2 linked regions of the Drosophila melanogaster genome follow. The protein of the gene in region 2 interacts with the protein of the main gene of each other region in a pairwise test. Each region holds a gene or a part of one and is shown on either strand. Other genes may lie near its edges.

What was found.
Region 1: the proteins of CG15861 (region 2) and CG14454 interact in a two-hybrid assay, tested with the Drosophila melanogaster proteins (one large-scale study listed by BioGRID).

What each region holds. Positions count from the first base shown.
Region 1 is NT_037436.4:22,690,988-22,694,482, forward strand, and holds CG14454 (uncharacterized protein), read right to left. Parts: upstream 1,542-3,495; 5' UTR 1,526-1,541; coding exon 1,163-1,525; 3' UTR 687-1,162; downstream 1-686. Other genes in the region: CG12546 (uncharacterized protein), read right to left, coding at 2,449-2,802; CG14453 (uncharacterized protein), read left to right, coding at 3,115-3,495.
Region 2 is NT_033778.4:24,942,735-24,947,338, forward strand, and holds CG15861 (uncharacterized protein), read right to left. Parts: upstream 2,468-4,604; 5' UTR 2,226-2,467; intron 2,121-2,225; 5' UTR 1,689-2,120; coding exon 1,285-1,688; intron 1,200-1,284; coding exon 1,089-1,199; intron 1,032-1,088; coding exon 929-1,031; 3' UTR 658-928; downstream 1-657. Other genes in the region: CG3770 (uncharacterized protein), read left to right, coding at 3,027-3,429, 3,485-3,598, 3,649-3,791; CG2790 (uncharacterized protein), read right to left, coding at 3,936-4,604.

The sequences.
Region 1 (3,495 bases), on a different chromosome or scaffold from region 2:
TTCAATGTTCTCGGCAGTACAGTGCCAGATTATTTGATTTACTCACCTGAAACCACAATTAGTGCAAAAACAAGTTCCTTTTCTTGTTCAGGTTTAGTTACTCAAAATGTCTGAAGGATTTGTTTAAATGGGCATTAATCTACGACTCCTTTAAGATTTCGCATGCCACAGCAATTTAAAAAAGGGGTTCGGATCTGAAGGAAATAATCTGATGGAAAGAACACATTTTTCTCCGTTTTGTGCTTAGAATCGGCATTGATGGCAGAATGGCAATCTGGAAAATGACAACAATAAGGGTTGGCCCAGCCTAACGTACTTTACCTTTTGGCTGGCGGCATTTTGCTTATTTTCGTTTCCCTCAATTGCTGCCCAGTCTGCGGACGAAGTTCCCTGAAATGCAATTTTGTAGCGAGAAAATCCGATAAAAAATTTCTTCAGCCTTCAGAGATGGCGGCATTCTCTATGCGTCTGATCTGAGCAATTAATGGGCACAAAGAAGCAAATGTGGATTCGAATATTGTTAACAGAATATAACCCCAATCTTGAACTGCTTTCAAGCAGTTATGCAAAAAAAAAAAAGACCAAAAAACATCGATTCCCCCTGTCAGTCTCTATGTTATCCTTGGCTTTTTGAAACGTCTAAGAATATGATGACGTGCCGTCACCAAACCGCACTCTTTATATATGCACACATTCAGCGTAATTTTTATTCACATCCAATAGATTTAAGTATCCAGGGCTTGGGTGGCTCCATCACTTCGTGAACAGCAGCACATTTATGCACAGTTCAAAGACCAAAATGAATATTTTATTTGATTTGATTCCAGGCGGGCTGACTGCTGAGCTTGGCTGCAAGAAAAGCATTTTCGAGCGCTCAAGCTCTGGTATAATAAACTCCAGGGATAGGGCCAATTGTCTGCCGCCTTGGAATTGCGCGGATTCGCCGCTTGTCGGATAGAATATGTAGATGTGCGTGGGAATGCCTGTGGAAACGTCTTAAATGCTCTAATGCCCACAACGAAACCTTGCTCAACGCTGCAGGCATGCCTTCTCAAAAATACCTCCAAAGAAAGAGATCAATCTAATAATCTGATTAGTTGGTGCAGCGCTTATATTTCTATTGAACGGCCGAAGATTCTATCTTAAGGGACCAAGCCCCCACTTATCCCTGAAGCTGATTGATCAGGCGACGCTGCCTCACCAGCAGCTGCTCCATCCTGCGCCTCCTCTTTTCCTGGCGCTGTCTCCGCTCCTGGCGACGACGGCGCTCACGAGCCAGGCGACGACGGCGAGCACGTCTGCGCCTCCTGGCCTCCGCCGAGGAGGAGGAAGAGGAGGCAGTGGTCGTGGTGGATGCGGAGGAGGCAGTGGTGGTAGTGGTGGTGGCGGATGAAGCCGTGGTAGTGGTGGCAGAGGAGTCGGTGGATGTGGTCGCCGTCGAGGATGTAGATGTGCTGCTACTGCCCTCCTGAGCCAGGAGCAGACACAGGAGCACGCTGAGAAGTAGAGCGAATAGGAAGCGCATTTTGTTGTGTCTAATCTAATCTAATCAGACGGCCTTTTATACTCAATACGGGGTAACAATTAAACAAATATCATGTATCGGAAATCGGAAATGTGTGCACAGCCTATCCAGCTCGTCAATGTCTTGGGCTTGTAAGGTCAACAGAGTAAAAGAGTCGATCGATATATTATTGATAGTGAGCCGGGTTTAACTCGTTGAAAACGAGATAAAAAGGTAATATTATAACGCTTCTTACGCCTAATTATGTATGGCGACCACGTCACGTCTGAAGGAAATATTTGGTATAACCTATTTATGTACATTCACATCTTATCTGAGTAAAAATCGCAGCACTTGACGAGTTAAAGGTGTTTTATTTGTTCTTCATTTGAGCTTTGCGTACCCAATTAACAGTTTTGTGCTGTTGCATTTTGGCTTATATCCATTTAAGTTCTCCGAAATTAGAGATTTATTTTCCAAAAAAACAAATACGTGGTTTACATTATTTTTAAACCAAACACAACAAAGATGTGTATAATTATATTAATTTTATACCAGTTACCGATTTCAAAATTCGTCTCGATTTGAAACAGGCTACTCCTGGAATGAGACTAAACTAGATTTGTTGAAAAGTATGTAACAGGCGTTTCCGACCCTATTAATTATACATATGTATATGCTTGATCACTATTACTCCGTCTGTCCGAACGAATGTCTCGACCTCAGCAACTCTAAAAGCTAGAGAGTTGAGAACGTTGAACTCCCTCAAGCCGCTTAAATATGCCACTCCCACACGTTTTTGTGCTCCAATAAAGTAGAATTATCAGAATGTACAATCAAATGTTTTATTATCTTGGCGAACTTGAACAATGAAAGAATTTAGCTTTCACATATTTACAACAGCTTTTCCTAAATTGTCATAAGCCGAGTCTTTCCGAAGACCTTCATCCGCTCAGCTGGTTGATCTGTCGACGTTGATTCTCCAGTTGCTGGCGCAGCCTCTGAGTCCTGCGCTGCCTTCTGCGCTCCCTTCGTTGCCTCTCACGCGCCAGACGACGGCGACGGGCGCGCCTGCGCCTCCTGGCCTCCGCAGAGGAAGAGGATGAGGAGGAGGCAGTGGTCGTGGTGGATGCGGAAGAGGCAGTGGTGGTAGTGGTGGCGGACGAAGCCGTGGTAGTGGTGGCAGAGGAGTCGGTGGTTGTGGTCGTCGTCGAGGATGTAGATGTGCTGCTACTGCCCTCCTGGCTAAGCAGGAGGCATCCTAGGACGGAAAGAACAATTACGATCGAGAAGCGCATGCTGAATGTCTTTGACGCATTTGAGACGTTACGCATGTTTTTATAGCAAATTTGAATAATGGTGGTTTACCAAAAGCGTGTAAGCTAATAGGTCTGCTGGATTGTTAGCTTTAACTAAGGTAAATTTTGGTAATGTTTATTCAGATTGAGAAATTATGTGTGCCGCCATATAGTTTAAACGTTGCTCTTGAGTCTTAACACACATAATAATGTAATAGATTTACGGTAATGAGCGCGTTTCTCAACCAAGTTTCCGGGTTCAACATCATATAAATAGGCTATTCTCCAAATCATAAGATATAACTGCTTAGAATGCGATTCATATTTGTTCTGCTCTTGGCCCTTCTCGGCTGCCTCCTGTTTGCCCAGCAGGGCTGCGAAGCTACGGGAACGAGCACTGAAAGCTCCTCGGATAGTACCAGCGCCTCGGACACCTCCACTACCGCGTCCTCTTCCTCCGACACAACTGAAGCCTCAACGTCTTCCGACACCACCACAGTGGCCTCGTCTGCCACGACTACCACCACTTCTTCGTCCTCGTCCTCGTCGTCGTCCTCCAGCGCGGCCGCCCGTCGTCGCAGGGCCGCCGCCCGTCGTCGTCGCTTGGCCCGCCAACGGCGCAGGCGCCAACAGCGCCAAAGGCGCCAACAGCGCCAAAGGCGCCGCCGCCAACAGCAGCGCAGAAGACGCCAG
Region 2 (4,604 bases):
CCACACGCGCAAAGCTAAAAATGACGGTTCTGCCGACTGGTCTTTATCTAAGAAATATCCTCTGGGGGGGGGTGTGGGTTAGTTGAAATACCCGAAATATTATAGGCCCCGCAAGCACAAACACTCTAAAATTCGGGCATTATCAATGGCCTAATAACATCTGAGCACAGAAGTCCCTCTTGAGATCCACGCTCCCTCTATGATACCCCCCCCTAGCAGCATTTTAGTTCGCTGGCGACGCCTCTGGAGAACACGTACGCATGTCTTCTTCAGTTTCTCTGCTGATCGGTGGGGATCGGAAATCGTATACTGTATATTGTAATATTCTGCACTTCCATGTGTCCGATTTGTTATAAACAATAACAAAGTCTCTTTGTAATTGATTGGTTGATAGGTGGGGGAGGGGGTGCGGCAACAACAACACCAAAACCAAACCAGTTGACATGCGCTCTTTAAAATCAAAATCTCACTGCGCTCTCTGAATTGTGCCCTGCGAAAGGTAAGGCATTTTAGTTTTCGGACTCAATACGAACTATCAAGCGTAACTACATATTGTATATTGTTGCCCATTCATTATGAAAGGGTAAGCACTCAATAAAGTTAGTGCTTCTCATATTTCCTCAGGTTAGATAAATCGATATAATACATATGCATAATGCGTTTTTGAAGTTGGTATTTTAATATGGACAAATTATAGGTTACTTTATGAGGCGATTAAAGCTGTTTTTATATTTTATGTTATTCCTTACAGTTTCTAAAGACAAGATTGCCTTTCCATAAAAATTTTAAATCAATAAAAAGAGTAACATAGTCTTGTAGCTTAATTCATAAATAATCATGAACCTAAACAATAAATACATATATTAAAATCCATACGACATCAGCGGGACCTAAAACAGCCCCATTGCTGTCAAACCTCCTCTCTAGGTCAATAGTTCCCGGAGCAGATGCCGTTGTGAGCATAATGGTGCTGTTTGTGCCGGCAGGCACACAAGTTAGGAGCGAAGCAGTAAGCTCGTGGTCCGCAGTTGCTGGAGGTACAGTTTAGGGCAAGTGTGGCGAAAAGATATAGCGACAATCAAACTTACTGATCACAGATTGGCATGCATTGCTGTCCATGAAGCAGGCTGTCCCTTAGCTCGTATCCCTGGGCACAGATGCACCGTCCGTCGGAGGAGCAGTTGCCATGTGTGCAGCGCCTGGAAATGAGAAAGGGCACATAAACGCATACGTATGTATGTACACTTCCTAAGCGATAAGGTGAGGAGCAAGAATCATACTCACCCAAGGCAGGGGTCCAGCAGACGGGGAGCCCTGTGGCGGCACTTTTGGGAGAGGGGATCAAAGTAGTAGTGCCTGTCCTCACGGCACACACAGAGATCTGGTGCGGCGCAGTAGCCACCTGCCGCCACGCACCCGGGGAGGCACTCTGCGGCACACACCAAACCATCCGGATTACCCGCCATATACTGATCGGCACAGGGACAGGATCCGTCCTCGAAGCACACTCCATTCAGGCAGACGATGTTGCAGCGCCTTACGCACTGGCGGGTGTTGACCACCAGCATTTCGTAGTCGGAGCAAAGCTGTGAAGGCTCGTTGATCTCCCAGTAGCCGTAGTCGTAGTAATAGTGACCCTCTACTACTGCCCACAGCAGCAACTGTAGGAAGACCATCCGGCGCGACATCTCGGCTAATGGCAAGTGATGAGCCGCGGATTGGTTCAGGCAACGAAAGGGAGAGTGAAAGTGCTTTCCGGAGGCTGCGCACTTTGTGTACGGATCTCATTACGGCCTCGGTCACGATCACTGTGCACAAACACAGTGCGGATGACGCAATGGCCCCCAACACACTCGGCCAACTGATAACCGCTCGACCGAAGATCGTTTCGATCGGAATTGCACATGATCAGCCCGAATCGAAGCGGCGGCGTGCATTACTCACCCGAACGGGGGTGGAGGCAATGGTGGGGTTGGTGGTGGTGGAGTCGACAGATTGGATCCAACTCGAACGCGTGTGCAGAGAGCCAGGGAGAGCTATTCGAGGACTGATTCTGAATTCGGAATGTCTGGATTTCCACGCTCTCAATGAGAAATCGGCGCCCACATCTGCATAAGGCACTGAAAACATCAACATTTAAAAATATACAAAATACATTCGAAAAAAATTCCTCATTAAATTACAATATTTTATATTAATTATTTCCTCTAAGTAAACATTCTTACCAAACATAGTCATTCAGTTTCTTAAATTCTTCCGGCTGATTTAAATTTATACGATAAATACGTAACGCATAAACCAACTTAGAACTCGATTATTACGATTTGATGCACCAAACCTTTTCTTCCAGTGCTCCGATTGGGGCCTGGCTCCGTTTGCGACTGCAGCTGGCTTTAATGGGCTCCATTCATTCGGTCGGTCGGAGTCGGCGAGAGATGACGCTGGCGAGGAACGGCAGCAGACACGCCTGCGCGAACAGAAGCTCAGATCCAAAGTTCCAGAGTGTGGAATAAAGTTGCCAAATAGCTGCAGCCGCTTGGGGGATTAGCGAAAACGCCATCGAGGCAGAGTTATTTTCCCGCTAGACTCTATTTCCCTTCGCTTCGACGTCAGCTGCGAATTTTGTTCTTGACAGAGCCGCGGACTGCGCGGTCTACCGCCTCGCCCTCGCCCTCGTGCTCCCCCTATCCCACAGTCAACCTCCGCTCGCGTGTGAGTGTGGGGTGAATAACATAAAACAGACGGCAGAAAGGCACCGCATAACAGCGAGCGGCGAAAACATAAAATAAACAATTCCATTTCGGGCTGGTCAGCTGGGAGGAAGTTCTGGTCTGGCCCCGCGCTGCTGGTGGTGGCGAGTGGTGCGACGGTGGTGGTGGGTGACGGCAAAGTGGGTGTGGGATGTGCGTGCCCAGACAAAGTAAGAGCGCTTAGAGTCTATTATCTATCCGGCAAGTGCTGACGCGTTGCGATCGCCCGTCGTCGATCGCTAAATCTGTGTACTCCGAAAAATCTGGTGCATCAAAATGTGCTACGTTATTATCACCATCGCCAGTCTGGTGTGGTTCCTCTGTTCGCTGGTGGCCGACATGCTCTTTGCTGTGGCCCTGGTCACGCCCAGGTGGCTGGTGGGCCCCGCCCAAGGAACAGACTCCACCGCCAGCTCTCACCACCAATCCTCGGTGGGCATCTACACGCGCTGCAAGGTCATGCAGGAGGGCGGATTCCAATGCGGCCGCTTCGACTTGGACGGACTGGCCACGGACAGTAGCGTTTACCCCAACGAATGGAAAGCGGCAATGTTCTTCGTCATGCTGGGATTTAGTCTACTCTCTGTAACGGTGATCCTGACCCTGATCACCTGCTGCCGCCAGTCGGCCTGTGGCAAGAGCATACACAACATGACGGCCTGCGCCCAGGTCGTAGCAGGTAAGCAACCATTACTGTGATATCCTCGCAGCATTTAAGTTTGCATTGTTTATAGGAATATGTATGATGTTGGGTCTATTTCTGCATCCGATGGGATGGCGAGCGAACCGGATTCAACGTCTATGCGGCATGGATGCCGAACCCTTTTACCCCGCCGACTGTAGCATAGGTAATTCTTTGAAACTTTTCTTAGAAACTTACTAAACTTAATCCTTACAGGAGTTTCATTCTACTGCGGAATCATTGGGGTACTCCTAACATTTACTGCCGCCGGTATAAGCCTAAAGGCAGAGTCTTCCAATATGCGAACTCGAGTTCGCAGACGCGTGGAGGCGGGCAGTAAACTGGTCTGTATTCCGTAGCTGCCTTTGAATACAATAAGAACACTATCTGACTTGGAGCGAGCATACTTAACTTCATTCTCGAATTAAATTTATCATTAGCATAAATAAACTTTTAACATTCTACAGTATAGATACAAGGTGTGGGTGGATATCTATACGACCCTACTTGTTGCGCTTGCCCTTAGCTTTGCCAGGAGGCTTGCCCTCAACATTAGGCTTTGCCTTAGGTATGTAGACACCATGGTTCGTCTTCTTTAGGTGGGCAAACAGCTTGTTCTTGGAGTCAAAGACAAGCCTACAGGTAACACAAGTGTGTTGCGACTTGGTCGGGTCGAGGTCCTCATCTCCGCTTTTGGGAGCCACTGTTGCCTCCTTTGTATTCGGTTCCGAAACAGTTTGCTCTAATAGCTTAACCTTCCTAGTCGTCGTCTTTTTGCTTTTACTCTTTTTGCTCGCTTTTTTGCCTTTACTCCAGTCTTCATCCTCTGACTCGCTCTTGATTGCCTTCTTTTCTATTGGCTCATCTGGTTCGTCACTGCCTTCCGCCTGCGCTTGCTTGACAGCTGACTTCCTTGCCTTTTTGTTTTTTTTGGTTCGTTTGGCTAGCGAAGATTCTTCTTCGCTTGGAACCCCGTCGAAAGATATCTGATCCTCAGAGACTTGCAATTCTTCCAGCGATTCCTGTACGCCCATTAAACTGTCTTCATGGGGTTCATTGTGGAAAGCGTCCTCTTCTTCCTCCATTTCCTGACACAGCCGGTCGACATTTTCATTATGCTTCTTGCTTTCTTCGTGATTAGCACGCGCCTTGGCGTTTTTAAATGTCTTGTT